Linked DNA regions of Callithrix jacchus. Each later gene encodes a partner of the first gene's protein in a complex. Links are inferred from orthologs where the notes say so. Each region holds a gene or a part of one and is shown on either strand. Other genes may lie near its edges. The genes, in order: PRKAA2 and PRKAG1.

The links.
Region 2: the proteins of PRKAA2 (region 1) and PRKAG1 are in contact, whole or in part, in a crystal structure (PDB 6B1U), measured with the Homo sapiens proteins. The link is inferred for Callithrix jacchus from reciprocal best matches to the Homo sapiens genes PRKAA2 and PRKAG1. Residues at the interface, in NP_006243.2 of Homo sapiens: Asp329, Asn330, Ile333, Met334, Ala337, Phe340, Tyr341, Leu342, His366, Pro367, Glu368, Arg369, Met370, Pro371, Pro372, Leu373, Ile374, Asn444, Val446, Thr447, Pro530, Arg531, Leu532, Gly533, Ser534, His535, Thr536, Met537, Asp538, Glu541; in NP_002724.1 of Homo sapiens: His36, Asp40, Leu41, Ile42, Pro43, Thr44, Ser45, Val50, Phe62, Leu64, Val65, Thr66, Gly68, Val69, Arg70, Trp75, Ser77, Lys78, Lys79, Gln80, Phe82, Pro158, Glu159, Ser160, Gly161, Asn162, Lys170, Arg171, Lys174, Phe175.

The regions. Positions count from the first base shown.
Region 1 is NC_133508.1:93,724,244-93,728,651, reverse strand, and holds the start of PRKAA2 (5'-AMP-activated protein kinase catalytic subunit alpha-2), read right to left. Parts: upstream 3,102-4,408; 5' UTR 3,041-3,101; coding exon 2,947-3,040; intron 1-2,946. UniProt on the Homo sapiens protein: Catalytic subunit of AMP-activated protein kinase (AMPK), an energy sensor protein kinase that plays a key role in regulating cellular energy metabolism.
Region 2 is NC_133510.1:70,538,930-70,543,240, reverse strand, and holds the start of PRKAG1 (5'-AMP-activated protein kinase subunit gamma-1), read right to left. Parts: upstream 3,078-4,311; 5' UTR 3,012-3,077; coding exon 3,003-3,011; intron 2,952-3,002; exon of another isoform or gene 2,524-2,951; intron 1-2,523. UniProt on the Homo sapiens protein: AMP/ATP-binding subunit of AMP-activated protein kinase (AMPK), an energy sensor protein kinase that plays a key role in regulating cellular energy metabolism.

The DNA.
Region 1 (4,408 bases):
AGGTTGCAGTGAGCCAAGATCGCGCCACTGCACTCCACTCTAAGGACAGAGGGAGACTCTGTCTCAAAACAAATAAATAAAAATAAAAAGCTAGACACAAAAGATATATTGAATGATCACGTTTATGAAGAAGTACCTAGAAAAAGCAAACTTATACAGGTAGAAAAGAGATTCGTGTTTTCTAAACACAAAACACAAAAGGGATTGAGAGCAGGAAAGAGATTAACTGTAATGGGTATAAGGAATCTTACTGTGGTGTTCTCAAATGTCCTAAAACTGATCTATAATGATAGTTGCAATATTTTGTAAAATTCATAAAAATCATTGAATTGTACACTTAGAATGGATGAATTTCATATGTAAAATATACCTAAATAAAGCTGCTTTCTGGGTGGTTTTTTTTTTTTTTTTTTGACACAGAGTCTTGCTCTGTCACCCAGCCTGGAGTACAGTGGCACAATCTTGGCTCAGTGCAACTTCTGCCTACCAGGTTCAAGCGATCCTCCTGCCTTGGCCTCATCAGTAGCTGGGATTACAGGCACCTGCCACTGCATCCAGCTAATTTTTGTATTTTTAGCAGAGAGGATTTCACCATGTGCTGGTCTCAAACTCCTGACCTCAAGTGATCCACCTGCCTCGGCCTCCCAAAGTGCTGAAATTAAGAGGCATGAGCCACTGTGCCTGGGCAATAAAGTTGTTTTCTAAAAAAAAAAAAAAAAAAAAAAAACATGGCTTTTTGTTTCACCTGTCCCTTGAAGAATTAAATGAGTAACTGTAGACTGTAGCAGTTTCTGTAATTTTTATTAAACAATTGTACTGATCCTAATCTTGGACAGGAAGCCACAGTATCACTTTTGAGAGGATCTGGCACAGTGTTACGAAAACTCCTTCAACTGGTTGTTCACTGGACAGAGGTTCTCCAGGAAAAGGATTTCTCATAAAGTTCCTTCTGTTCATTGATATCTTAAGAAGCTGGTGCTTGGAGACAGCTCAAAAGTATACACAAGAGATTTGTCTGACAATGGGCTGACTGATCTGGTGGGTATTCTACTCTACCTTCATATTACAAAATAAGAACTTAAAAAGACCAGCAAAAAGTTTTAACACAATTTTAAAGGACATAGGGTTAAGTGATATAACTTTGAGAGTGTACCTGTCCAAATGTCAAAGGCATTGTTTGCTTGAGCAACTGCATAATGTTGTAACACAATAGTCCTTAGTAATGATACTAAATGACAAATAACATTACAGGCATTAATCCAATCCCTGGATTGTCCTGTATTCATCCTAAACACCTTCTAAGTGTCCACTCGACTTATAAGGTCTTTCAAAAATAACCCAGGACTTCATAACACTCACAGGATGGCAAATAATTTTGCAAACTTTTTACTTCTTTGCAAAAATACCACCTTGTCTGACCACCTTATTGAAAACTGCCAACCTCACAACACTCCCTACCTTCCCTTCCCTGATTCTTTTTTCTCAATAAAACTAAACACACCTTTTACATGTATTCTGATTACTGTCTTCCCCTACTAGAATGTAAGTTCCACGAAAAGATCTGCTTTTTTCTTTGCTGTATCCTCATTGCCTAGAACAGTGCCTACCAAGTTGCAGGTGCTCTTGAACAAATGAATGGGCATTAAATATGAGCAAGAAAACAGGAGCTGATCTTTACCACAGGAATGAACAATGAGTCTCTTCTACTTACTCAACAGCCTTGACTTGGTATTAAAACATGAATTTTACAAGGAAACAGAGACCTCAGAATACAACTTCCAGACTGCCTACCCAGCATTTCTTCAGCAAAGAGAGAGTAAAAAAAAAAAGCCAATGTTTCACTTATAATTCTGGATTTGCAACAGAGTATTTTTAATATACTGTCTCTATTCTGGAGAGAGGACAGGTTAACTAAATCCCATGTGACTAATTAACGGGAAAAAAAAAACAAATGAAAGTTCAACACTTAACTATCCTTTTTACTAATTACTTAACTCTCGTAAAGTATAACATTTCAAAGACAGCCTGTTTTTCTACACCCAAAACGAGATCCTATCTTCATGAAGACAGACCTTAGCAGAATGACCTCCTCAGCCTCCAATCCGCCAAACACCAAGGAACCTTATCCCAGAAGTCTTCCCCATAGCCATTTTACAAACACAACTACCTTCAGACCTCTTTCTAATTAACCTGTGATTCAATCCAGCTGCATTCCAGCGTTTAACACCACCCCGGAAAAACTCACAACCACTGGCCCTGGAGCATCCCCTAAGCAGTCACCCCCGCCAACCGAGAGCCCTGGAACAAGAAGGAAACTGGGGATGGCAGGGACCTCCCAGCAAGACCAGAATTGGAGGACATCTTAGACTTCACCCTGGCACTGCCCATTTCTGTGTGACCTTGGGCATGTTACTACACCTCTAGGGGTCCTAGTTTTCCCACCATTAGGGTGAGGACAACATGCTGACCAAGTCACTATAAAGATACAATGACATCCCATACAAAGCACTTAACAGGGCACCAGGTACGAAGCGGCGCCTCAGTCCTCAGCAGCACGGGTGATCCCCGGCCCTCCACCTACGGTCTCCGAGCTGGGAGGCGCCTCGCGGACCCAGCTCTGAGAGGACAAGTGGACACCGAGGTCCAGAGAAGACAGAAGTGCCTCGCTCCGACCTCCAGAAAGGCAGATGGGCGCGGGACCTGGAACCCAGGACGCCCGTCCTCAGCCCACACCCCCGCCCTCTTCTCCGGATTCTGCCGGGCCCGGACGCCCGTCCCGGGCGAGGCGGTGCGCGCCGCCCTCCCGGGGCCCCAGCTCCGCGCGGTTGGGGCCGCTCCACCTGCCGCCGAGCCCCGCGCCCGCCCGCGGCCCGGGGCTCCCGCCGCTCCACCCGGCCTCCCGCGAGCCTCGCAACACCGCGCGGCGGGCCAGAGCGCGTACTCAACTCTTCACTTTGCCGAAGGTGCCGACGCCTAGCGTGTCGCCCAGCACGTAGTGTCCGATCTTCACCCGCCCGTCGTGCTTCTGCTTCTCAGCCATCTTCGGCGCGCGCGGCCTCACTCCGCCGCCTGCCGCTCCGCGCCGCCGCCGCCGCCTACCCACAGTGCAGCGGGCCCTGCGGGGGGGGTGGGAGGACGGGCCCGCGCGCCCAGAGCCGCGAGGGGCGCGGGGCGGGCGCGAGGTCCCGGGAGGGGGCGCTGGGCTAGCCAGGCCCAGGTGGGAAGCGCCCGGCGAGTGGCCGGCGGGGCGGGGCCGAGAGGGAGCGCGGTGCGCCTGCGGCGGAGCCGGAGACTGCGACAGCGGGGGTCGGCTACGTGGGGCGCTGGGCTGGAGTGCGGGAGGGGCCGCGCCAGGTGCGCGGGGTCCGAGTGAGGGGAAGAAGCGGCAGGTGCTGCGAGGGGGTGGGCCGGGGCCGGGAGGGAGGCCGGGAGCCCTTTTTGAGGAAAACCGAAGGGAGTGAAAATGGGGGGGTGGGCGGGTAACACTGGGGCCCGATCCCAGGGAATGGAAAGACGTGGAAGTCGAACTGGAAGAAGAGAGACGGGCCTTGGGTGTGGGGAGCGAGGGGCTGGAAAAGAAAAAAGGCGGGAGGGGAGGCGGCGGGAAGGGCCCTGGTCAAAGGGCAGGAAGCTCCTCCAGTCTCGTCTGCGGCTTTTGGATACAGGTCGCGGCGCAGGGAGAATGCACACAGCTCTGTGCTCTCTTGAATTGCACTCCTGTACTTACTCTGCAATTCCCAATTATTTTGTCCTGTAGAAGAAAGAGACCCTCTCCTCCAGAGCTCTCAATTTTAACTAATTTGCCCACAGTTTTCCAAAAAACCTCAGTCACGGTATTTGCTCTAGTGTATTTTAGCATATGCTTATATACATATGTAGTTTTACCACACGCTTACATAAACATATAGTACCGAAATGTGGTAGCTGCATGTGAGGGAAATGGGAAAGGCCTGGAAAGGTAAACAATATTCTGCCCCCAGAAAGTAAAATACGTGAGTGACATTGGAATTGTGAAGGGCGAGGGCAATACAAGGTCACATATTAAAGGAAGAATAAATGTGATATAGAAGTGAAAAGAATGATAAGAGGAAATTAGAAGCATGACGCCTAGGCACACGTGTGTTAAGAGACTGACCTCCCCCCTCCCCCAAAAAAGAAAAGCCTGGCAAGGAATTTGGTAATAAAGTGATTATCTCTGCCTCACTTCCTTCTTTCCTACCCTTCCTTCCCTCCCTTCCTTCCTTCCTTTAATGTTGTTGTCCGTTCTTTAATGTTGTTCTTTCAGTGATTAAAGTTTCTTCGCTTCTCACCACATACACAAAACGATTAGTATATAATATGTGTGTTAATTAGCTTGACTTACAGCCATTCCACAATATATGTATTTCAAAACATATACATACTAAAT
Region 2 (4,311 bases), on another chromosome or scaffold:
ACTTTTAACTTTCTGCCTGTTTCACCATATCAGAGGGGGAATTATCTAATTATGTCCACTTTTTCTTTTTTTTTCTTTTTGAGACAGGGAATCACTCTGTCACCCAGACTGGAGTGCAGTGGCACAATCACAGATCACTGCAGCCTTAACTTCCCCAGCTCAGGCAATCCTCTGACTTCTGCCTCCCAGGCTGCTGGGACTATAGACACACACCACCAAGCCAAGCTACTTTTTGTATTTTTTTTGTAGAGATGGGGTCTCACTATGTTGACCAGGTTGGTCTTGAACTCCTGGGCTCAAGCAATCCGCCCACCTTGGCCTCCCAAAGTTCTGGGATTACAGGCATGAGCCACTGTGCCTGGTCTCCTTTCTAGTCCTTTTTTTTTTTTTCACTGACCATCCTTTCTACTTCTAATAACACAGGGGACCAGACAAATTACCACTGTACTATGTAAGTACAAAATATTAGAGAGACACATGCTACATATGACAAACAGACTCAACAGTTTCTTCCAAACTTCTGATCTACATTTGCAATTATTTGTTTGATAACCACAGATATCACAGAGATTCCTCAAATGCTTCAATATGAAACATTTGTCCCTCTAATCCTATTATTCTCAGTGTGGTTCCCATCTATGTTTTGCACAGCTGTCTTCTTAACATGTATCAGCTAAGCTGGTATGTTAGAAATGCCTCAGATCCATCTCTCATTGCCAACTTCACACCCTTAATTTAGGCTCTTACCTCTCACTTCGGCAACACTGTTTAAACTGGTGTCCTTGCCCCAAAACTATCTGTTCTTCACTTTATCTTTCATGCTTTCACCACATTTGCTCACCAAAGCATCTCAGGTTTGGAAGGTTACTTTCATCTCCAGTAACAAGAAACTTTACTTTCTGAAATAGCTCAGTCCATGTACAGAAAGCTGCTATGAACATTCCTAAAGGACATTCACTAACTTGCTTATAAATCTTCCATAGGTCCCCTATTACAAAACAAAGTTCAATTTTAGCATGGTATGTAATACTTTCAACCTGATCTTAGCCTTCTTTTCCAGTCTTTTCTCCCACTGTGACCAAAATCCAAATCCAGCAACATCAAACCACTGGTTCATTCCTTATTCTCCATATACCCCAATTTCAGTGCCCTTGTTCATACTGTTCTCTCAATTTGTAGTGCTCTCTCCCAGGTCCAAAGTAATTTTTCTCTCAACTATGCTGTCACAGTCCTTTGTCTGCATATTGATGATAGCATTTATTATAGTGTACCTTTAAATAACAGCTATTGCTGGCTGCCCTCAGGCTGAGCATTTTCAAAAGTTGTTGTTGTTTTGGAGACAAGGTCTCACTATGTCACTGAGGCTAGAGTGCAGTGGCATGATCTCAGCTCACTGCAGCCTCCATCTTCCTGGATCAAGATATCCTCCCACCTCAGCCTCCCAAATAGCTGGGGCTACAGGCACACACCACCACCACCATGCCTGAGTAATTTTTGTATTTTTGTTTTTGTCCAGACAGGATTTCATCACTGGTGTAGAACTCCTGAGCTCAGGCATGGTGATTTGGATTACAGGTGTGAGCCACCACACCTGGCCAAGTTTTCTTTTTCTTCTTTTTAATTTCCATCCCAGAACCTAATCCACTACATAAAATGTGAAGGCTAGATTTTCTAAAATCTATGTAAAAATGTTTTGTAAACCATAATACATTTATAAGTAGGTAGACTATGTTATTTTAAATTTAATGAAATTAGACTCCTTATTTTTGTTCAAGATTATCTTAATTAGTCATAAGTGGCTCCCTTGCCTGGCAGACCAACTGCGAATCATTTTACTACTTTGGTCGGTTTTCTCTTTGAAAACCTGAAAGAAACAACCTCTCTATAGGCAGGGAAAGGGTGTGGCAAAGAATTACTCTGGGCATGTCCCAGAATAATTCTTATGAATCACTTATGAATTAGTTATGAAAGTGAACCTGCCGGGCGCGGTGGCTCACGCCTGTTAATCCCAGCACTTTGGGAGGCCGAGGCGGGCAGATCACAAGGTCAAGAGATCGAGACCATCCTGGTCAACGTGGTGAAACCCCATCTCTACTAAAAATACAAAAAATTAGCTAGGCATGGTAGCACGTGCCTGTAATCCTAGCTACTTAGGAGGATGAGGCAGGAGAATTGCCTGAACCCAGGAGGTGGAAGTTGCGAGCCAAGATCACGCCATTACACTCCAGCCTGGGTAACAACAGTGAAATTCCGTCTCAAAAAAAAAAAAGAAAGAAAAAGAAAAAGACTCCTGAGAGTGAGGGTGGGTGCAAACATGTAGCAGACAACCCGCAGCATCTGTGGGAGGGTGACAGGGCCCTGCCACAATTGGTCAATGCCAGCTCGCCAAGAATGAGCTATGCCAAAACTCCCGCTTAGAGTCGCTGAGCGGGTCATGACCTAAACTTATCCAAGGGACACAGTGGCCTCTAACACTGCAAGATTTCCTCTTTCAAGCAAACTCCAATTCTCGGTCTTATTAAGGAAATGTGACTTCACTGGATGCATTACAAAGATCTTCAGATGTCCTTCTGCCAGTCAGACCACGGAGGTCCAGTAGCTACCTTCAAGCGGAGATCCCTCTGGACGTCCCCTGCCTCACCCAGAAAAGCTGGATCACAGCCCTGCCCTCTCAAGCAAACCTCTGAAAGGTCTTGAGGTGCTAAGAGGAAAGGAGGCCCGAGATTGCCACGGCATACGTGGGCTCGCTCCAAGGAGGGAGCCAGGAGTCACCGCCTGCTCGGGCTAAGAGTACCGCGTACGGAAAGGCGGCGGGGGCGCGGCCCAGTCCTAGGAGATGCGCTCAACGAAGAAGTGGAGGGACAGGGTCACGGGATAGGGCAGACACCCGGTTGCTTCTTGTTTGCTAGACTCCAGTGCCAGCCCCTGCCCGGCCCCCCCGGTCTCCTAACAGGGGGTCTTAGGCTCCACAGCGCCCCCGACCGCCCTCCGGCACTCCTCACCGTCTCCATTGCAAGAGGCGCCGGCTTGGTTCTCGCTTTAGGAAGCTCTCTTGGGGCAGGCCCCGCCCCACATCCGGTGCGGCAAGGCCACATCCGTCCACGTCACGGCAGTCGCCAGACTAGGGCGGAAGACGGAGAACCCACCCTTCCGGCGGTGGCTGGCCTCGGTAACCGCCCTCCCCCGGTCCTCGCAGACCGCACGTATCCCGCTGATGGCAAGGGTCATGGGACGGACTCGCTTGTATTTAAAATGTTCTTTTTTTATTTGTTGTTTAAAAACAAACTTGGAAGAAGCAAAATCCAAAACTTGCCCTTTGCCTCTCGCAACATAAATTATGTACAGTTCAGAATGATCGCTGATACAAAACATGCCAAGGACAGGGGCGCTGAGGGTGGAGGGAGAGAGGGCGCTTTAAAAAAGGGAACCATTTCATCCGTTGTTACGAAGGACCAACCTTGCTGTACAGGATACACACAACACAAAATAAAGTTTTCACGGGATTCACACTTGTCAGCGATTTATTTTTTAAAAAGGGGGGAGGGTCCTGGAGGTGAGGGGAGAAGACTGTAAAGGGGAAAACTGAAAATTGAGTATGTGCGAGTGTAAACCAACCCAAAATACAAACATGGGGGGGTGGAGGATTTTGATGCAATTATACAGGCAGGGTACTTAAAAAAAACCGACAACCAAAATTCCAACCTTGTAGCTTGGGTCTGAGTTATAGTTTATATAAAAATTAAAAACTGTATAAGGTTTCTTCACTAAATTCTACAGGACTATCGGATACCTAGCATATGCTTACAAAGTCTGCCCCATCCCCTTTTCCCAATCCCAGGGCCCAAGCCCCAGAGCCTGACTCACAGGAGCCAATCTCCCCATCCCTGTAGCCTAGACCTTCTGCTCTCGGAAAAGGAACATCCAAGGGCTGTGGCTTTGAGGGGAGCAGCCCAGTCTCCCTATTGTCTGATTTAATTACAGCGGTTCCTGTGGGAGTGGGGGGTGTTATTCTCTTAAACATTTGCAGCTTGAAACAGTTGAGGAAGCAGCTTAAATAAAAAAAATCTCCCTACCCCCAACAATCCACAACCCCTCAAATTCAAAACAAAACAAAAACAAACCTAAAATCACAACAGCGACCAAGCTCCCCCTCCAGCAGGCCCGCCCGTCCACCACCACCACCAAGCCCACCCCTACACTCCAGACATCTGATTCTTGAAAATATTAATTACAAAATGCCCTTTGCCCACAGCCCCTAGAAGATAACTGCATATAAGCTTCATCTTCATCCCCATGGTTCCCTACCAGAGA